3 linked regions of the Canis lupus familiaris genome follow. The protein of the gene in region 3 purifies or fractionates together with the protein of the main gene of each other region. This does not show direct contact. Links are inferred from orthologs where the notes say so. Each region holds a gene or a part of one and is shown on either strand. Other genes may lie near its edges. The genes, in order: SMAD4, IKBKG and PIAS4.

The links.
Region 1: the proteins of PIAS4 (region 3) and SMAD4 purify together in Homo sapiens (affinity purification with western blotting, with the first as the bait; 3 studies listed by BioGRID). This does not show direct contact. The link is inferred for Canis lupus familiaris from reciprocal best matches to the Homo sapiens genes PIAS4 and SMAD4.
Region 2: the proteins of PIAS4 (region 3) and IKBKG purify together in Homo sapiens (affinity purification with western blotting; 5 studies listed by BioGRID, with this or other methods). This does not show direct contact. The link is inferred for Canis lupus familiaris from reciprocal best matches to the Homo sapiens genes PIAS4 and IKBKG.

Annotation. Positions count from the first base shown.
Region 1 is NC_049222.1:24,036,395-24,043,860, reverse strand, and holds the start of SMAD4 (mothers against decapentaplegic homolog 4), read left to right. Parts: upstream 1-2,721; 5' UTR 2,722-2,765; intron 2,766-4,778; exon of another isoform or gene 4,779-4,943; intron 4,944-7,466. Other genes in the region: ELAC1 (zinc phosphodiesterase ELAC protein 1), read left to right, coding at 1,075-1,323. UniProt on the Homo sapiens protein: In muscle physiology, plays a central role in the balance between atrophy and hypertrophy. When recruited by MSTN, promotes atrophy response via phosphorylated SMAD2/4.
Region 2 is NC_049260.1:123,435,550-123,441,435, reverse strand, and holds the end of IKBKG (NF-kappa-B essential modulator), read right to left. Parts: coding exon 5,866-5,886; intron 4,743-5,865; coding exon 4,599-4,742; intron 4,334-4,598; coding exon 4,191-4,333; intron 3,805-4,190; coding exon 3,743-3,804; intron 3,536-3,742; coding exon 3,393-3,535; 3' UTR 443-3,392; downstream 1-442. UniProt on the Homo sapiens protein: Regulatory subunit of the IKK core complex which phosphorylates inhibitors of NF-kappa-B thus leading to the dissociation of the inhibitor/NF-kappa-B complex and ultimately the degradation of the inhibitor.
Region 3 is NC_049241.1:55,943,509-55,951,235, forward strand, and holds the start of PIAS4 (E3 SUMO-protein ligase PIAS4), read right to left. Parts: upstream 4,132-7,727; 5' UTR 4,117-4,131; coding exon 4,072-4,116; intron 1,674-4,071; exon of another isoform or gene 1,576-1,673; coding exon 1,149-1,575; intron 1-1,148.

The sequences.
Region 1 (7,466 bases), on a different chromosome or scaffold from region 3:
AGGGGGATGAAAGCAGCAATGAGGGATACTGGACAACACGATGGAAAGCTGCAGGTTAGTGGGGGGGGGGGGGCGTGGTCTCTTGAGGAGCCAGGGGGACACCTACCTCTTTCCAGGCACAGCCTGTGAGGCTTATGGGTGAAAACACAGCGGCCACTACTTGGGAGGAGGCCTGGAATGCACTGTCCCAGGGGAAAGTCGAGTTTCCCTCAAGCGAGAAAGTGAAGAGAACCTGAAGAGAAACTCCGAGGAGGCTGGGACTGCAGGGATCATTGTCGGCTTAAGTAGACATGGTGTACTGGGCTCTGATGTGGCCCTGCATGGCCCCTGCTTCCTGGCATCCGAGCCCTTATCTGGGCTCCTTCCCTTGAGTGAGGTGGGACCTGTGAGGTGCCTCTGGCCAACAGAGCACGGCAGAGGTGACTAGGTGTGTGGGGTCATGCACACATGGTTATGTCACATATGGTCGTTACCAGTGTGTTACATGGAGACTCTCCCCTTGTGGCTTTGACGAGGCAACTGCCATCCTGTAAGCCTCCCTGGGGAGGGGGCCACCTGCAGCTGACAGTGAGCAAGGGACTAAGGCCTTGGGTCCTGCAGCCGGCAGTCTGGAGGCGCCTCCTTTCCCTGCCAAGCTCTGGCCTGTGATCCTGCAGAGGACCCAGCTAAGCCGCGCTTGAACTCCCGACCCATACGACCTGTCAACTAATAAATGCGTGTTGTGTTAAGCTGCTAAATGTGTGGTCAAATCGTTACACAGCAAGAAATAGGTAACACGGATGGGAACGAAGAGGCTCAGTTACAAGGGTGTTGCTGTGGCGTAGGTGGGGCTGGAGCTCAGGCCCCGAGATAAAGACCTAAGCTGCGATCAAGAGTCAGACGCTCAGCCAGCTGAGCCACCCAGGTGCCGGAGAGCCATGTTACTTTTAACTCCGTCTGAGGTAGAAGTAGGAACTTAGGAGCCACCTGCTGCTCTGGTACCCGACCACCCAGTTAAACCTTCCTTCAGTTTTGCTGATAGCAAAGAACTGGGAACCACCTGACTCACAAAGAATTTATAACCCGTTCATTCAGGTCACTCGCTCTTTCATCAGACGCCAGTTTTTGAATTGTCCCTCTGAATTGTCCTGGGGGTTTTACATCTGGAGTCGGGGTGCCCGCGCGACTGGATTTCAGCTAAGGTCACCATCTCAGGGTTGTGGGGTCGAGCCCCGCATCGGGTCCCACACTCAACACGTCGTCCGCTTGGGCTTCTCTCTCTCTCTCTCCCTCTGCTTCCCCTCCCATCCCCACATTCCCTCTTACTCTAAAATAAAAAAGTAAATAAATACATCTTGAGTTGATGCACCTGCATGAGAATGTCACTTTATTCCGACAGATGGGAGAATGACAGTTTTGGAAGAGGATGCTCTGTCCTCAGGTGACTTCTCAAGCTGAGCCATTGTGTTAAGTAGTGCACTAGCAACGGGAGCTCTCTAAGTGAATTCCCTTAAAACTAGTCTTGGAAAGTCTTCCTGGACCCAGGAGCAGGGAACACGGGAGACGACGGCGGCGGGACACGCAGGAGTGCGGGTTGCCGTGGTGCGGGGGGGGGGGGCAGCTCGGGAACGGGCGGGATGCCGAGGGGATAGCAGGGGGGGACACCGTGGGGACAGCCAGGCAGGACAGCTTGGGAACGGGCGGGGACAGCGGGGCGAGGACAGCAGGGAGGGGACGGGGACGGGGGCGGGGACGGGGGTGGAGAGCAGGGACGGGGGGGCGGGGCGGGGGCGGGGCGGGGGCGGGGCCGGGACGCCGTGGGGACAGCGGGCGGGGCCGGCGCGGGGACGGGCGTACGGAGGGTCTGAGCGCTTCCTCGCCACTAGCTTGCGTCGGGCTCCCCACCCCCGGCAGGGGAAGTTTTTTCTAGGTGGTAAAAAATAAAACAAAAATTCGAAAGTATGCAACTCGTACGTGTTTTCTGAAACTTTTAAAAATAAAAGAAATGCGCGCATCTTGGAAAAGTTGAGATAAGTAGGTATGCACTGCGAAGCCGAGTTTCGCCCCACAGGTGGCCTCAACAGGTGCGCGGCAGGTCCTTGAGCGCCGCCCCCATCGCAGTGTCCCCCGAGCCCCGTCCACTGGCCTCCGTGACCCGCGGCCACACTCCCGCACGGGCTGCCGGTCCGCGCGCCGCGGAGCCGGGAGGGGGCCCGGCAGGTGTCCGCCCTCGGGGCCGCCCGCCGCCGGGCCGCGCATCGCGCCTGCGCCCCGCGCCTGCGCACAACCCCCCCGCCGGCGCTCCGCGGGGGGCGGGGCCGCGGGAGAGGGAGCTGCGGGGGCACGGGCCGAGGCCTGCAGTTACCCGGATGTGGTCGCCGTGCGCGCATGCTCCGTGGCCTCCCGACAAGTTGGCAGCAACAACACGGCCCTGGTCGTCGTCGCCGCTGCGCTAGCGGAGCGGCTCGGGTGGCGGGGCCCGCGTTGGCGCCCGCGCGCCGTCCTCGGGAGGCCTTGCCCGCCGGTCCTTCAGCGGCGCGGCCGCCCGGCGGCGGGAGCGGCTAGGGGAGCCGGGCGCCCCGCGACCGAGGGCCCCCCCCGCGGGGCGGCCCGGGAGCTCGAGGCGGCCGGCGGGCGGCGGCGGCGGCGGCGGCGAGGAGGGGCGGGGGCGCGGGGGGAGCGGTGGCCCGCGGACGGGCGGCGGCGGCGGCGGCGGCGGCGGCGGCGGCGGCGGCGGCGGCGGCGGCGGCGGCGGCGGCGGCGGCGGCGGCGGCGGCGGAGCCCAGGTAACGGCCCCGTGCCCTCCCCTTCCCCGGCCGGGCCCGCGCCCCCCCACCCCCGGGCTTCCCCGCCCCGGGGCGGGCTCGGGCGGCCGGTGCGTGCGTGTGCGCGTGCGCGTGCGTGTGCGCGGGGGGCGGGGCGGGGGCCGGGGGGCGGGGGGCCTCGCGCCTCGCGTCCCGGGCCCAGCGCCCCCGCGCCTCCGCGCCCCCGCGCCCGCCGCGGCTCCCCTGCCGTCGCCGTCGGTCTTTGTTGCTCCGAGGACTTGCGCCCGCCGCCCCCGCCGAGCGCGCCCGAAGTTTCCCGTCTCGGGGACACGTCGGTGCCGCCTTTGTCCTCCACTTTCCCTTCCTGCCGGGGCCGCTCCGGCGCTCGCCTCGGCCTGCGCTGGGCGCTCTCGCGGCTCGGGAGCGGGCGGGCGGCGGGGGGGAGCCCTCCCGCTGACCTGCGCGCGCCCCTCCCCCGCACCCCTCCATCCCTCCCCCCTCTCCTGATGAGCACCCGGCCGCCCCCCCAGCCTCCATCCCTCCACCTCTCCACCCCGCCCCTCCACTCCACCTCTCACCCCCCCATCCCTCCACCCCCCACCCTTCCACCCCTCCACCCCTCAATCCTTCCCCTAATCAGCTCCCGGCCGCCCCCCACCCCACCCCACCCCACCCCACCCCACCCCACTCCCAATGAAAACCCAAGGACCCAGTTTCTCCCGCTGCTGGGACTGCGAGCGCTGGGCGCGAGGCTCTAGGACGGAGGGCGGTGGCTCCATCACTTGCCCCCAAAACTGAGGTTATCATTTCTCAGGGAAGATTTTTCAAAGAAATGGGCGTGTTGGGTTAACTTGAAAGGTGGCTTTGGGGGCCTGGAGAGGTGTCCGACGGCTCTGCTGGTGGTGATGCGCAGCACCTCCCCCCCCCCCCCCCAAAGCCCTGGTGAAAGATTCTTTTTCACGAACACATTTTATTTCCGATGAATTCACTTTGGACCCAGTTCCTTGGTGCCTTTTGCGCTGTACTCTGAGGTGGGGCTGAGGGCCCTTCGGGGTCGTGGACGCGGCGCAGCGGGCTCCTGGGCATCTCCTGACCGCGAGCCAGGGTGCGGAGGAGCTGGGGTGCAGAGGCTCGGTAGGGGCCCCGACCTGCCGCAGGGAACACCCCTTTGAGTCCCTGCAGGGAGCACCCCCTTGGGTCCCTGCAGGGAGTGTCCTCTTGAGTCTCCACAGGGAGCACCCTAGTCTTCGCAGGGAGCACCCCCTTGAGTCCCCGCGAGGAGCACCTCCTTGAGTGTCCTCTTGAGTCCCCGTGGGGAGCGCCCCCTTGAGTCCCCGCAGGGAGCACCCCCTTGAGTCCCTGCAGGGAGTGTCCTCTTGAGTCTCCGTGGGGAGCACCCCCTTGAGTCCCCGCAAGGAGCACTCTAGTCTTTGCAGGGAGCACCCTAGTCTTCGCAGGGAGCACTCTAGTCTTCTCAGGGAGCGCCCCTTGAGTCTCAGCAGCAGTCTCTGTGGATCTTAAAAAAGTAGGTTGAGTAGTTTTTGTTGGAACAGACCGTGGAGTCTTAAGAGGAAATAAGGAAATCCACGCTTTGAAAAAGTAACGGGATTTAGGACGCAGCTGGGTGGGTGGGCCGCGGTGCCCGCGCCTGCCTTCCTGCACCTGCGCCGTGTTGCCCGCGAGCCTCTGAGCCTCCGAGGCGTGAGGACTTTTCCGTTAAGGACTTCTTATTTTTTCTTCTGAAAAGTTCTGATATGCCGAGTATGTGACATTTCAAGTTGTAAATGATGTGATTGACCTCTTAAAATATGACGTCCTGCTGCTGTTTCATGAGCTGTGACTTTGTTTCCCTAAACGGGTTTGTTACCAGAACCAACAGGACTCGCAGGGTTTTGGGGTCTAAAGGGGGTGATGAATTGTGTAGGTTTAAGTTGTCGGAATTAAACCTAAGAGCCTTTCTAGAGAAAATGGATAGAACCTTTCGTGGGTCTGTTAATAGAAGTGGCTTTTTCTTTGCTTTCCAGGTTTTTGGGTGAGGTTGCTTGAAGAGGCACTGCATCTTCTTAATTCTTTGATTTTCCGAGTAGGAGGGCCTGAGTGGAAGCTTCTCTGTTTAGCTGAGTGCCCGCCTTGTAAATCTCGAGCTTAGAAAAGAATTGCACGTCAGTTTGAGATTTGATGGAAATTTGGGCTGAGAAGGTGAATTTGAAATTTTTACATGGATCATTGGCCTTTTCTAATGGCTTTGCTGCTTGAAGCAATGCTGCTTACACTACGAAGCAGCAAATCTTCTAAAAACCTATGTATGTTTTATTCTGAGGCTACATTTTGGTTGAGCTGTTTATTTGTGTCTGAATTGTTTTTCTGCATTCCCCTTTAGACACCCCCCCCCCCCCATATTAAAGAGAAAAAAGCATTAAACTAATTTATGCTGCCCAGTCACACTCCAGCCCTCTGGCTTGGAAGCTGTTTTTTTCTGATTGAGCTGGTGTTATAACGTCATTAGACACTATCCTAATTGAGCTGTGAATTGCTGTGGCCTCTACTAGGGCTCTTAACCCTGCAGGATCTGTCCCGTTCATTTAAAACGCATTTTTAGTCCTGTCTAAAATTTTGCCTATTTTGTTGAGTACCTTTTTTTATGTTTAAAGTTATTTCAGTTCTATATTGTTCCCCTCTAGCTCATGCCTAACTTTTTCCCATCTTCCATCCAGTGATTTTGATAGTAAACAAGGCTTTAAACATCTTATGTTGGCCGTTTCGGTGCTCATTGTACATGTTTTGATTTCCTTTTTTTCTAGAAGATTGTGTGGTTAGGCAGAAATTTTTGTTTTGCTTAAGCGATGATGAAATGTTGACTCTGAATTGATGCTTAATCATGTGTAAAACTAACAACTAAAACAGTTCCGTTGATTTCATTATTTTCTACACTAAATGAAAGTTAAAGGACTTGGATCAGCGTAACACAGAATATAATATAACTGTTAAACTACCAAATTTTGGGCTTTTTACTCAACAGTTGATGAAGATTTGGTTGTTTTAAAAAGAAATTCAAACAGTTGATAAATATGTGTAGATATTTGAGTAACTTTCAGTATGATACTGCTTGCATCATAATATGACAAAACATATGCTTGGTAATGAGTCAGATTTAGAATTTTTGGATTTTATCCCTCATTTTAAAATGTGTAATTTTGGTGATGGGAAATGTGGCTGAATTCCAGTTTCTCAGGAACAAGGTATTTTAGGTTGTGTCACCTTGACATTATTTTCTGGTGTGATTGGCATCCAGGAAAATTTGTATTAACTATGAGAGTGGATAGAAACTAGGGTAGTGCTTACTTACATAAAACTAAGGTGGTAAGTGGTCAGAATCTTATAATTTAAGTCTTGATTATTTGCTACTGCAAATTATATCGTAGGTCAGATAGATAGCTACCAGAGACAGATTGTAAAGACTGTCTATTACGACATCTTAAAGTTGGTGATAATTGTAAATATATTTAAGTTCAAAGACACTATTTATTTACATTTTAAATGAAAATTGTTTGCACTTTGGGAAACTTGTACCTGTGTGGGATTCATGTTTGTTTGTTTGTTTGTTTAAGATTTTTATTTATTCATGAGAAAGAGAGGGGCAGAGACACAGGCCGAGTGAGAAGCAGGCTCCCTGCAGGGAGCCTGATGGGATCTATCCATCTATCTATCCCAGGATCCCGGAATCATGAGCTGAGCCAAAGGCAGTCACTCAGTCGCTGAGCCATCCAGGCGTCCCCGGAATTCATCTTTTTATTACTTTTTTACTCCCAAGGTTGAGGACAATGGTTTTCAACCTTGGCTGCATTTTGAAATCTTCTGGGAAGCTTTGCAAAATCTGGTGGCTGGATCCCACCTCCAGAAATTGTGATTCAGTGGGCCTGGGATGCAGCAAGATCAGAATTGAAGGTGGTTTAGCTATTGGGGTCCTGTAACTTTATATTTTGAACTATTTCTCTTGTGTTGGCTTTACATCGTTTAATACAATGATGTACATATGTACTGTGTAGTCATCTCACATCTAACTTAGTGGATCTCCTGAAGGTATTGCCACATTTGTCTTGCTTCATTGTTTGTCCCTTCATCTTCATTTGTTCCTCTCTCCCTTCTTTTCTCCTTTATTCATTTTTCATTTCATTTGAAATGTCTGGTAGCAGGTTTTAGGGACTTGTATTTCCCATGATAAGTTGGTATAGCATTACTATTCTAAATAGGAAGTTGATCTTTTTGTTTTTGTTTTTTTTAAAGTATTCTAAAAAGTTTACTTGGGCTCCTTTTGGAGACTTAGGACTTTAAGTGTCAAAATTAGCATCTAAACTCCAATGGAATTTGGTCTTCAAAGGGGGTTAATCTGCTTGGAAACCATAAAATTTTCTAGGCACCTGTTAACTGGTCACTTCACTGGTTCCTGAGAGGCAAGTTGCATTTAGCTTTTGGTGTCAGGAGTTAACTTACCCCCTGTGAGATGTTGCTCAGCAAGCCCAACTAGTTAGCATTTCTTTGGAAATCATCTAAGGAGAATATATTCAGTTTTCCATTTACATCAGCTGAAGTAGTTCCCAAGTGCTGGTTGAAGAGTAGTTGTATGGAGCATCTCTGGAAGAGTTTTGTTTTTCTTTTTTTCTTTTTTTTAATTTTTCTTTCCCCACATTTCATTCCAACACACATTCAGAGTGGGAATTGAAT
Region 2 (5,886 bases), on a different chromosome or scaffold from region 3:
TTGGCTCCCACGAGCAGGGCTCCCACCAGCAGGGCTCCCCCGAGCAGAGCTCCCCCAAACAGGGCTCCCGCCAGCACAGCTGCTCGGGCAGGGCTCCCCCGAGCAGGGCTCCCACCAGCAGGGCTCCCGCAAGCAGGGCTCCCGCAAGCAGGGCTCCCCTGAGCAGGGCTCCCCGGAGCAGGGCCCCCACCAGCAGGGCTCCCCCCAGCAGGGCTCCCCCGAGCAGGGCCCCCACCAGCAGGGCTCCCCCGAGCAGGGCTCCCGCACCGGCCGCACATCAGCAGAACCCACAGGCACCACCACGGTCACCCCAGGCCCTGGTGGCCACCACGCCCTCCATCCTGCCACGCCGGCCCCCCGGCCCACCAGAGGTCTCCCTCTGTTCCTGGCTCACACCCCTTTTCGCCTGGTTTGCGTGTTTCAGGTACAGGTCAGGGCCGGAAGCGTTCTCATTGGCGACTTTATTGCTCACCTGGGTTTCTCTTAAGCACCGACGAGCGGGTAACAGAGGGCACGCGTGTGCGAGCAACAAGAGGGGACACAGGTACAGCAGGAGGTGCTTCTAGCTGTCTCTATCGGCAAGGCCAGGGCCAGGAGGGTCAAGGGGCCACAGCGAAGGAGGCAGGCAGGCTGCTTCCCCCGCAGGAGGCATCCAGACGCTTATTCTGGAAGCCCGATCTAGGGAAAGCCAGAAGGGAAGAAAGCGGAACCCCCCACTTCAGACTGAAAGGTCTGGCTTAAAGCCCACGCCGCCTGAGGCACACCGGGTCACACGGGGTGCCATCAGCAGCAGGCAGGGAGCAAGCGCACCCCAGGAACGGAAGCTTCGGAAGACCCGTGGCGCTCAGCCGCTGCCAGGCCCTGCCCCCAGAGCGTGGCTCCGCCGGCCCGGGGCCCAGGCACGAAAGGCTGCACAGCTCCTGGCGGCTGCTGCTGCATGGCCCGCATGGACGCCACAGCCGGAACCCCAGGAAAGTTCCCCAGGAAGTCACCATCTGCCTCTCACTGCACCTGCATCTCATCTTCGTCCTTTCAACTCCCTTTCAGAGGAGGAAGCCAGAGGAGGACTCGAAGCCCAGCCCTACACCGCTGGTGGCTGTCACCCAGGGCCCCGGTCAGTCCGACTGCTCTGTCCTATTGCAGGCAGCCTGCACCCTTCCTTCTGCCTGCAGCCACCGGCCCTAACCACAGTGTCCAGCAGGAGACGAGATGTCCCGAGGAGCGGCAGTCCCCACACCTGCAAGGGCCTGCCCCACACCACACCAGCTTTCCTTCCCACGGAGCGCCAAGTGCCTCTGCAGCCCAGCGGCCACCCTCACCCCAGGGGACAAGCCCCCGCAACGGAGCTGCTGGTCCTGGAGACACCGGTCCTCAACTGCACCTGCCCTAGTCTGTGGGCCCCAGGAGATATCCCTTGTGCCGGGCCAAATGGTGGCCCGAAAGACATATGCATGTCCTAATGCACAGAATTTGTGATTACGACCCTATTTGGGAAAAGTCTTTGTGGATATAATGAAGATAAGGACCTCAAAATGACGTTAACCTAGATGATGGAGGTGGGCCCTAAACCCAGTGACTGGTGTTCTTGTAAGGGACAAGAAGAGAAGATGCAGTCAGGAAAAAGAAGAGGCCACGTAACCACAGAGGCAGAGAACGGAGTGACACGTCTACCGGCCCAGAATGCCACGGGCCACCACCCACGGAGGCTGGGAGACAGGCCTGCAGCTGATCTTTCCCTGAGCGCCTCCAAAAGAAACCAACCCTGCTGTCACCCTGATTTTAGCACCATGAGAGAATGAATTCTTGTTGTTCTAAGCCAAGCTGGTCATTTGTCACAGTGGCCACGGGAAATAAATATATCCCCCGAAACTGAAGTGCTAATGCAGAAAACTGCAGGTCAGGACTGAAACACAGCACCCGGGAGTGGGGAGCCTGTCTGCGCCTTTAACGTTTTCCCAAAGTTCAGTCATCTGCGAGGAGACACCCGGGCTCCGGGAACTGGAAAAGGTGCTCCCGCTGCTGCACACGCCAGGCGCCCCCCGGGCCAGTCTCGTCTCCAGAACGGGCTGCCGGCCAGGCTGTCTTCGGCGACACCCCATTCCCAACCAGGGGAGGCCAGGGCATTCTTCCTCCACTTCTGATGTCCTTTGCTGACAACTGCGGGCTTAACGCCCTTGGCTTTGGCAGCCCTTGGCTTTGGCATCCGAGGAAACAGCCAGAAATCTTGCAAAGCAACAGTAAGGGGCCCTCTAGCGTTCAGAACCTGCCAATTGTCACCAAGTGGCTTCCCTTCACAAGGCTGGGGCATTTGGGGCTGGTGTGGGGAGCAGCATCACAAGCTTCTGCAACGTGATGAAAGGCAGCCACCACACAGAGCAGCAACACTCTCTGGGAGGACAAGAGCACGCAGTGGTGGTCGGTCGGAAAAGGAAAGGAAAAGTGCGCATGTGGAAGCACCTCCCTGTCAAACCATGAGCCCGTCACAACAATGGTAAACCCAAAGCAGGGAAGGGAAGGTGCACAGACGTGGCCACGCAAGGATGACCAACTTCAAGCCCAAAACACACTCACACAAAGTTAGAGGAAGAGAAGACAGTGGCAGTTTCTATCATACACAAGAGCCCATCCCACCAGTGACCAAAGAGCTCAAACCCACTGAGGAACAAAAGACTTACAGCCCAACAGAAAAATGGGCAAAACGTACAAATGAGCCATTAAGAGCAGAACTCGAAAAGGTCCTTCAAGCTCCACAAACACACTCAGGCTCAATAGAGAGCGCCGTGCCCGACAAATGGCAAAAGCCCGCAGGCCGGGCACCCCTCGTGTGGGCAGGGCTCGATGCTCAGCGGTGCTGCTTCTAAGACCCTGACCCAAAGAGACACGTAAGTGACGCCCAAGGATGTTCAGTGCAGCATCGTTTGTGACAGTGAGTGGCGAGGGCCCAAGTGTTCATCTGAAGCTGACTGGTAAAATGGGCCGGCGGTGCAGCCTCCAAATGGAATACCACGCGGCCCACGAGGGTGCTGGGGCCACGGTGTGTGGAAGCGTGGGCGGGAGGCAAGGCTTCTGCCCGTCTTGGCTTGAGAAGTTCTCTGAGAGCCCTGGCCTTGATTCTTGAGTTCCCCAGTGGACGTGGAAACAGAGGGAGCCCCAGGGCAAGCAGTTCAAGCGGACAGAACGAGCAAAAGGAGCAGAGCATCAGGCCTAACCGGGGTTCCATGGGCCCTAAAAGAGGCAAACCAGCAGATGGGGGAGCTGAAGCATAAGGTCCTAGAGCTAGCTCGTGGGGCGCACAGAAGTGGCCTGTTCTGTGTCACCTAGCCCGTAACTCTGGACCGTGCGGCAGGAGAGCTCGCACCGGGCCGTCCTGTGCTGCTTACTGGCAGGCAGCCCTACTCGATGCACTCCATGACGTGTATCTGCAGGGTGTCCATATCAGGGGCCTGATACTGGCACTTGGGGCAGCAGAAGTCCGGTGGCTCCTCGGGGGGGCTTCTCCTCTGGATGGACACGGGCACGTGAAAGGAGGCGTGAACTGGAGAAAGAGAGGAAGCATCAGAGAGGACTGAGACTTGCTAGGCCTGTCGGGTCGGCCACTGGGGTCACCGCCGCTTGCGTCTTCCCTCTCAGCCCGCCCCGTCCCCAGGAGGGGACTGCACTCGGGACAGTGACTCTGGGGAGGCGAGATGGGCCCTTCTCTGGCACCCTGCCCTCTCCATCCCTTCTCCGACCGCTCACTCACCTGGGGTGACGGGTAAGGGAGCCTGGGAGACCTCCACGTGCCGCTTCCTCAGATCTTCAATCCTTTGAGAAGAGAAACTGTCAGATCAAAAGTATGCACGGAGGGGATCCCTGGGTGGCTCAGCGGTTGGGCGCCTGCCTTCGGCCCAGGGCCTGATCCTGGAGTCCCGGGACAGAGTCCCATGTCAGGCGCCCTGCATGGAGCCTGCTTCTCCCTCTGCCTGTGTTTCTGCCTCTCTCTCTCTCTCTCTCTCTTATGAATAAATAAATAAAATCTTTTAAAAAAAAAAGTATGCACGGAGCCAACGGAAGGATGGGGCAGGACAGGGCAGGAGAGGGAGAGCGGAGAGGGAGGGCCGGCTCAGCCTAACCTGACACACGCACGCGGTCACCACCGGGACCCCCGCACCCAGTCCCACCCCCCGTGGGGCGGGCCCTCCGAGGCCCACCTGGCCGACTCCTGACAGCTGGCCTTCAGCCTGCTGTACTCCCTCTGCAGCTGCTCCAGCTGATCCTGCAGGATCTCCTTCTTCTCAGCCAGCTTCTCCCGGGCCTGCCTCTCGGCCTGGAAGTCGGCCTTGTATATATCCGCCTGGCAAAGCCAAGAGAGGGGCACGCCCGCCAGCTGTGGGCCATTCACTGCCTGCTGGGGGATCGGGGACAGCCGGCTCCCACCCTCCCAGAGCCGGGGCACAGAGAGTCACCGCCAAGCGCAGACAGATCAAGGAAGAGCAAGGGGCTCAAAGGGCTTCCGTGAAGCCACCGCAAAATGACACCAGGGACATACATACCAGGGCCCAGGGCCCAGCAGGCCCAGTCGGCTGACCCGCACACGGGCCACAGAGAAGTGCCCTCACCTGAGCCTTTAGCACCGGGACGGTCTCCATCACGATCTTGTGCTGCTCGGCCTCTTCCTTCAGCTTGTCGATCACTTCCTGTTTGGCCACCAGGGCCTCCTCGGCCTGCTGGAGCTGCTGCTTGAGATCCTCCAGCTGCATTCCCTAGGAACGGGCAAGGGGGAACTGCAGGAGCCCAAACTGGCCCGTGGCAGGCACCAGGCTGCCACCAGGCCGGCTGCTGCTCCAGGTGAGAAGAACCAAAAGGAATCAATGAAAGATGGGCCCTGGCTGGCCAACCCTGGAGTGGTGGAGAGCACAAGACGACAGGGCGTGCACGGCACAGGAAAGGCAGAGGCTACAGGGAACCTTTGACATCATGTGGCACAACTTCCCACCCAGGCCAACACTCCCTTCCCAGAATCCCCAGCCGGACAGCCCACCTCTAACCTTTCAGCGGACAGGGCCATCCTCCCTCCTGAGGCCATCCCCTCCACGCTCAGCTGCTCTCCCGTGCTAACAGTCCACCACATGCCGCCACGAAGCTGAGACCTGTGGGTCCTGCCACCCTGCCATCCTACAAAGGTCTGCTGCTCCCTCCCAGATGCCCTCAGCCCCCCATGCACACACGCAGATGCATGCACACACAGACACAGCCACACATGCCAGCAAGCCTTCCTCCTGCAGATCGAAAGGCCACAGTTGTGTAACTAACTCTTCCTGGTGTGGTCGGTGTCAGGTGTTACCCTTACAAGCCTTAGAGATGTCCCCTGGGTACATTCGGGTTTGACAGCATCCTTCTTAAAACGCGATCACTTGACATTGCACCCAGTACAGGTCTGATGAAAACCAACCAGAAAAGGGCTCCCAGCACCACTCCCAGTAGTGTGATGAAGTGTCCCACGCCTCACCTTGGCTCTGGGATCTCTGAGCCAGGAGCCAAGCTGGTGGGAAGGACTGGCCACGGAGACAAGCATGTTCCCAGGCCACACAGAGCGCCGCCAGAGGCCCGGCCCAGGGGACCGTAGGCCACACACAGCACAGCCCTAGGATCCCAGTCTCCCACCACCCGCGCTGAGCTGTCACACTGCGACCTTGACAAAGGTCTACGACAAGTCAAACATCCCCCCCAAAATCAAATTCTGGCAAGTGTTCAAATAAGAACTTGAGCTCCCATGGCCCTAAATCAGTGGCAGCAGGTCCCGAGCTCTGCTGTTTCTAGGCGGCAGGGAGAGGAAGCGAAGCAAAGTCAGTCCTACAGTCCCCGCGACAGCCCCACCATACTCACTCGGTTTCGCTCGCTGCTCAC
Region 3 (7,727 bases):
ACCCCATCAAATCCAAGGGGGGCCAAGAAGCCCTCTTACTAGACTTGCCATCTGGAGCCCTGGAGGCGCAGGCAGCTGTGGCTGGTGGGAGCACATGAGGCCGAGGCCAGGCTGACGCCCACCCACCCCACCACTACCACAGATGCCGGAGAAAGACCAGGGGCCCATCCATGTGCAGCACACCATCAACCTTGGGAGTCAGAGAATTTCTCTATGGCAGACAGGAACCACAGGGCCCTGGCATTGTCTCCTACACTCCTGGCGGTGTCCCACCTCTTGGGAGCACAGCTAGCCATTCCCTAACCAGCTGGCCCATGGTGACCAGACTGCACCCCACTGGCCAAGGTTACTCCGAAGGCCGCCTACCAGGAAACAAGCCTTTTGCAGGAGGAAGGGAGATCAGATCCAACTTCCAGCCCCTCTGCCACAGGGAGTTAGAGCACACAAGCCAGCATCCCCAGTGGCCCCCAGAGATGCCTCCCTCCGATGGTCCAGGCCTGGCCCACAACACAGAGCTGTTCTGTGTGACTGATAGAGTGTGGCAGTTAGGCCACTTCCAAGCTGAGGTCATGGAGACGACTTCTAGCTGCTTCTGGCTTCTCCCTGTTCTACATCATTCACTCTCAAGTGCGCACACTAACTCTCCCACACCATCACTGGTTCCAAAGGAAGCAAGCCATCATTCCACGCTGTCACGATGCTCAAGCAGTCTATGGAACCCACATGGCAAGAAGTGGGGTCTCTGCTGACAGCCAGCAAGAAACCAAGACCTGCCAGCAAGCATGGGAGTGGGTGGCCCCCAGCCCTAGTCGGGCCTTCAGATGAGACCTGATGAGTGACCGTGTATCAGGTTGTATCAGGACCACTCCACTAAGTCACTCCCAAGTTCTAACCCTCACAAGCTGAGAGCAGATGAGTGCCTGTGGTGCTAAGCTACTGAGATTCAGGGTACTCATGAGACGACTCACCAGGTTGCTGATAGATCCAGAGGAGGCTCTTGTGCTTCCTGGGAAGGAAAGCCCTCCCACCCCCACCCCTTGGCCCTCACTGCTTCCCAGGAGACACTCTGGGTCAGTGACTGTGGCTGCCCAGAGGCACTGCGAGAGTGCAGGTCGGGGCCCCCCACCCCCAGGTGGTGGCAGACTCACCCAGCTCTGTAGGCTTCAGCAATTCATCCAGCATGTTAAAGAAGGGAAGCTTCACCAGACGCACTTCCGGCTTGAGGGTCTTGGTGGGCAAGCGTCCAAGTCCATTCAAGTACTTCCCATAGAGCACGGGGTAGTCAATGTTGGGGCCCGAGAGGGGAGTCCTGGGCACCGTGCCAGCCCGATCGTAGGTTGAGTGCATGGTCAGGGGGTCCAGGGGCCGGTGGGGCTGGGGGACAGGCTCTGAGCTCTTCTTGGCGTAGCGCGTTTCGTACAGCTCCTTGATTTTCTTGAACAGCTCGGGGCTACAGTCAAACTGGACCAGCTGGAGGGCCCGGGTGACAAGTTCGTGTTTAAGTCCGCTCTTACTCCGGCCAACAAAACCCAGGAGCATCTGAAGATCGGAGACTCGGAAACTCATCACCATGTTCTGGGGAAGAGCAACCACAGATACACACGCTCAGAGGAGACACAGCCAGATTCGGGGACTGCCAATGGGGCAAGGGGCTTCGTGGAGCCACCTGGGCCCTAAACGGGGGGGACAGCGAAAGGAGAGCCCATCAGGTGCTGCCTGGCCCTCCCTCCAGACCCCCTTCACTCTGGTGGGCAGGAGCAGGAGCCCAGGAGGAGGAGGAGGCGTAGGCACCAGGCCCACCAGCCCAGGCTCAGTCCCACTTCCATGACCTTGCTCACGCTGCCCGCTCACCCTTCCCTATGATGCCCCCTCCCAGCTTAACCCTGCTCCCCTCCACCTCTTCCTCCTCAAACCTTCCTCAGCACTGCCAACGCAGCAAAAGCTTCTGACCGCCCCCCCAACACACACCGCTGCCTTCTATTTTAAGTTCTCTTTTCCCATCTTCAAGCCTGAAAGCATCCCCAGGGCAGGAACTGGGAATCTTCCTTTACCCGTAAACAGCCTCAGCCACTCCCTAGCCAAGAACACTAATGGCCTCTGTGACCCTCAGTCTCTTCGTCAGGATGACAGGACCCACTTCGTTGGGATGTGGGAAGGACCAGATGAGGTAACATACGGAAAGCAGAGAAAATCAACGTTGGCCACAAACACATTTTCCCTTCAGTCTGGAGTATGGTAGCCACGACTTAATACCAATCACTCGCCAGGAACTGAGCTGCACATGTGATCATATACTCAACGCTGATTCTTATGACAATCCTGCTGGGCTGTGGGGAGCTCCACATGACAGCCAAGATTCAAACCTAGGCCTGACTCCAAAGCCAGGGGTAATTTCTCTCTATTGCACTAGGGGTGTCCACATGGGGCTGAGCACTGGTGAACATCAAACGTCTGCTGATCATTCCAGAAGGCCTTCTCTGCCTCGACCCTGTGGACGTTGGGACTGGATTGTTCTCTGGGGCGGGGCCATCCTGGGCACTGTTGGGTACTCAGCAGCATCCCTGACCTCCACCCACTCGATGCCAGGAACTCTCCCCAAGCTCCCGTGGTGATAATGACAAAGGTCCCCCAGACACTGCCAAGTGTGCCCTGGGAACAGTTTCGGCCCATTTAGAACCACGGGTCTGAGGAGAAGGCTTTGGGAATACAGCAGCCACGGAGGCTGTGAGCTGTGGCAAAGTGATGAAAGAGGTCTAGCAGAGTCTGGCACTTACTACCTGGCAGGGTCCCTCCGACTAAATCAAACCAAACACGAGAGCTCAGCTGACGCTGATGTTTTCTTTGGGGCGGCCTGACCATAGCCTGGCCTCGGGGAGACTCTGGGACGCCAAGGGGACTGACACTCCGCAATATGCTACATAAGCAAAGTATCCTTGAAGGATGGATAGGCCGGCAGGGTTTCAGGGCCACCCACACTGAGCCCCAAAGCTGGCCTGCAATGAATGAAATGTGGTGGGGAAAAAGAAACTTCCAGGGGAATGGGGAAAACAGGTACAAGTGATGAAGGTGTATATGGGAAGCTGGCGGGCACAGGGCAGGACAGCACCCAAGGAAACCAATGAAGCCCTTAAATTCAACTTGAGAGTCTGACAGTTAGAGGTGGGTGGGAACCCTGCCAGGGTGTTTACGTAGCAGTCTCACTGCCAGAAGGCTCTGGTGTTTCCCGTTTCCTGGCTGTTGAAGGGTGAGGCGTGTAGTCTGAGGGCAGCACCAGGACTCAGGAGCTCTGGGTTCCTAGGCAACCCCAGGTCCTCTGTAGGGTCCCTCTGCACTTTGGGCATCTCATCTACCCATGCAAGATGTGAGCCCTCTAAGATTTCGGCAGCCGTCCACCAGGTTCCTGCTGATAGCAGAGAGGCTGTCAAGGCACAAAATGACAGATACACACATGTGGGGCTGCCCATCCTGCCTGCAAAATCTCAAGGGGGAGCCTTTTCCCGCTGCAGGGCCTTCCTCCTATTCCCACACTACAGATGTGGAGCATCCGCCACACACCAAGCACAAGGGCTCTTTGCGGCCACGAATCTCACAAGGGTCCACGCCCACCAGGCAGGTTAGAAAACCGAGGCCCCGTGAAAAACGTGGCTGGCCCAGAGCCTCCCCACGTGTCAGTGGCAGGAGCCATCAGAGTCCCAAGGGCACTTCCTTCCACTCCCACCCAGCTATCTGGGGGCCTGGGGACCCCTCACATCCCAGCACACCTCCTGCCTTGGGACTTAAGCAATCTGTAGGCTCTCAGAGAGCCCAGAATGCTTACAAAAACACAAAGACTTCACCTTCCTTGGCCTGACTTCCTACCTTGAGCAGAGAAAATAGGCTTGCAGACAAGATGTTTCTTCTGGAAGAGGCCCAAGGCCTTGGAGGGGAGAGGAGACGTCATGTGGAAGCTGAGTGCCCTCCACGGAGCTAAAGGCAGGTGGGCTCGGTGTGCCGAGTCTGACCACAACACATCTTCTACCATCACCCCGCCCCTGGGAGCACCCTGCCCCCGCCATGGCCCAGCCCTTTCACCAGGTTGGACATCCGGAGCTGCCGCACAAGCATCCTGGGGCACATCCCTCAAGCTGCCATATGTTCACGACTCGGATTTCTCAGCAGCTGCCACCACCAAGGAGCCTGCCCTTGACACTGGGAGGGGGGACAGTGTGAGAGGGGCACAAACATTCAGGAAGAAGCCCCAAGCACTTTGCAAATCACTTCCTGCCATGGCTTCATCCTACCCGCCTGCCCCTCAGATCTGTGTTTATAAACAGCACCAGGCCCCCACGGCTTCCAGAGTCTCAACTCTGGGCTTGTTTGGAGCTATGTGGAAAAACATCAGCCTGGATAGAGCTGCCGCGCTTAACTTAACCCGTCTCGGGTATAGGTTCCTCTGAATGTGGCGGAAAGTTAAGGTCCTTATCGCCAGGAAATGGGAGATCTGTGCAAAATGCTCCCATCTCAAGGGGTTCCCAGACTGCCTCTTCTCCCCAAGCCCTCACAGGGGCCTCAGGCAAAGGCGGATTTCCAAGTTTACCAACAAGCCCCTGTCATTCTCCCTGAGGACCAGCCTGTTTTGAACTCCAAAAGACAAAATCTCCAGCCCCTGTTACTACAAAAGGCTAGGTAAGCACCTAAAAGAAGAGAACACTTCAACGACACCTAAGACACTCCACAGTGGCAGCCACAGACTAAAGAAAGGCGCCCGAGGCTCGGAGCGAGCTGTGTCACTGAACAGAGGCTCACGTTCTAGAGAACTTGAAAAAAGGGTCAACTTGATTTAATTGGGGTGGGGGCCCCAGCCACCGGAGGGTCAAGTAGAGTTCATGAGATCATATTTCAAGGCCCTGGATGGTATAAAAGAATTCAGTCCCTACCGTCTGGCTGGGACTGGGACCGGGTGGGGGGTGGGGTACACCCAGAGTCACAGCCCTATGGGACGGCTTTATTTGAGGGCTCCGGGGGTCCTCAAGCCCACTGGCTGCTACCTTGGGCATGCAGAGTTCAGACTTCCACATCTCCAGGGCAAGTCCCAATTTCTCAAAACCCTACAGAAGGGCAGAGTGTAGTACAGGCATTGAGGGGGACGCTCCAGGGGGAAGGGAACTGCATTTCAGATCTCCGCAGGAAGAGAAGGGAGATGGAGGGAGAGAGAGGAACAGGAGAAAGAAAACATTTACAGGTCAGGACCTGGGGAGGGAAGATCAGTGGGAGGGGAAAAGGCGGAGCCTCTGTCCAGGAAAGGTCCGGTCTCCCACCTCCCGGCCACCAAAGGCCTGGAGTAAACTTCTCAGGGAGGAAGGGAACAACCCCACTGTAGTGTGGGGCAAGGTACCTGGAAGACAGTACCCCTGGAACAGAAATGGCCTCTATGGGATGTGGAACCTGGACCCCAAAATGGAGCATGAGGGAGAAGCACTAGAAGCACTAAAGAGAGAGGGTGGAGAAGCACTCTCCATGAACCAACACAAGAAACCAGCAGAAGGGAAGAGGCAGCCTCAGAAGCCAGAGTTGGGGCGTATAAAGGGATCTAAAGTAGGTTCTGGGGAGCTGCGTAGACACAGTACCACCTCAGTAGAAGCACTTGGGAGTATAAAGGAAACAGCCGGCACAGGGTCTAATTCTGTTAGCGTGAAGTTGAGAGACCCCAGGAGCAGAGTCCAAAATCTCACAAACGCTGTCCCGAGAGTAAAAACGGGGAGCAAGGCAGAGCCCAGGACCCAAGACCGAGGAGACGGGCACGGAGGAAGGCTCTGAACAGGGAACAGGGGCAGGGCTCCATCCCAGGCGGGAGAGCAAACTCGAGAGACCCGGTGCCCACTCCGAGGGCGAGCGAGACGGTGTCGGGAGGGGGGCGGGGCTCCGGGACCAACGCGGGAGCCGAAGCAGGGGGGCGACCTCCAGCCCGGGGTACAAACCCCCAAGCGGACGCGGCGTCTGGGGGGTGCTTCGGGACCCCGGCCCGTCACCCCGGGCGCGGGAAGCGGCGGCACAAGGGGCACGGGGCCCTTCTGAGCAGGGAGTCGCCAAGCCCGGCCGGCCTGCTGGGCAGGGAGGCTGAGACCCAGGGGCCGACCCTCGCTGCCACGGGGGGCGGCGAGGCGAACACGCTCCCCCAGGCCAAAGAGCAGGAGCCCGGCTCGGGGCGCGGAGGGGACGAGCAGCCCAGCCCGTCAGGCTGTCCGGGAGGCGCGGCCCTGCGCCCAGGCTCCGGGAGACTCGCCCCCAACCCCTCGGGCGGGCGGGGGGGCGACCCCGCCTCACGCCCGGGAACCAACCCCCAGCGCGGAGGCTGGGGTAAGGTTTGGGGGGCCCCGCCCCCGGCCTCCCCGCCCCCCGCCCGCACCCGGCGCGCCAGGGCCAGGGGCGGGCGAGGGGGCCGGGCGGCGAACCGCAAGCGGGCCGCGCCGCGGGGCCCCGGGCGGAAGGCGCAGACCTCCGCCCGCCGCCCGGCCCCCGCCCCTTCTCCCGCCCGCCCGGGCCGGCGCCGCCGCCGCTCACTCACTTTGGCCTCCACCAGCTCCGCCGCCATCTTGGCCACCAGCGTCCCCCGCGCCGGGAGCCCCCAGCCGTCGCGTCACGTGACCGCCCGCCACTCGCGGGCGGGGCCGCGGCGGCGGCCAATTAGCACCGCGCGCCCTCCTGCCCCCCCCCGGCGCGCGCTGCCCTGCAGTGCGCAGGCGCGTGCGACCGCCGCCCGGGCCCCGGGCCAATCAGGACGGCCCGACGCTGCCCCCCCACCCCCCCCCACCCCCCCAGCGCCTCCCTCGCGGCGACCACGCCCACCCCTGCCGGCGTCTGGCTACTTAAAGGGATACGCGTCACGCACAGGTGGGGGCGGGCGGTGGGGCGGGAAGGGGACAACAATGCAGCCAGGTGCGCGGCCCCCGCGCTGGGCCGCCGGCCAGGTGCGCGCCCGGACGCCCGGCGGCGTCGGGGGAGGGGCCGGGGCTCCGGCGCAGCGGCCTCCGGCGCGTGCAGCGGGGAGCCCGTCCGCGCGGCCCGGTGCAGCCCCGGCGGGCCCGGCGCCCCGCGCGCTCACATCCGGGTCCCGGCGCGGCGCCCCCCGGCTGGCCCAGGGCCGGGCCGCGAGGACCTCCCCCCGCCCGCTTCCCGCGGCTCGCGCTGCCCCGCCCCCGCGGGCGACCCTCGCGCGGGTCCCGCCTCCCCGCCCGCTGCAACCTTTGGAATCGGCGCCGCCTGGAACCTCCCCTGCTCTAGAGCCTTCCTGGGCTCCCCAGCGCCCGCCGGCAGCGCTGCTGCAACTCGCCTGTGCCGAAGGCGGGAGGCGACAGGACACCCCTGCGTGCCCCGGCGGCGCCCCAGCGTGCGGCTCTGATGCGGGGGTCGTGAGTTCCAGCCCCACGTTGGGGAGCGGAGGGGGGGGGCGAGCTTACTTAGAAATAATAATGCTGACATCTAAAAAAAAAATTTTTTTTCCAAAAAAATGTATGTTCCAGGGCTCATACCCTGAGTTCATGATTCTCAGGAAAGGAATTAAGAGACATTTAGGGAAGCACCCCCCAGAACACTCCAAATATGTTAGAGTAATTTTTTTTATATATATAAAATGCAAGAGGAAAAAAAAAACCCACGGTGATGACAATTTCAAAATTCTTAAGTTAGAATCCAGCTGCACTTGCAATTGCAATTGTAATTGCACAAGACCTCACTGACCTCACCCCAAG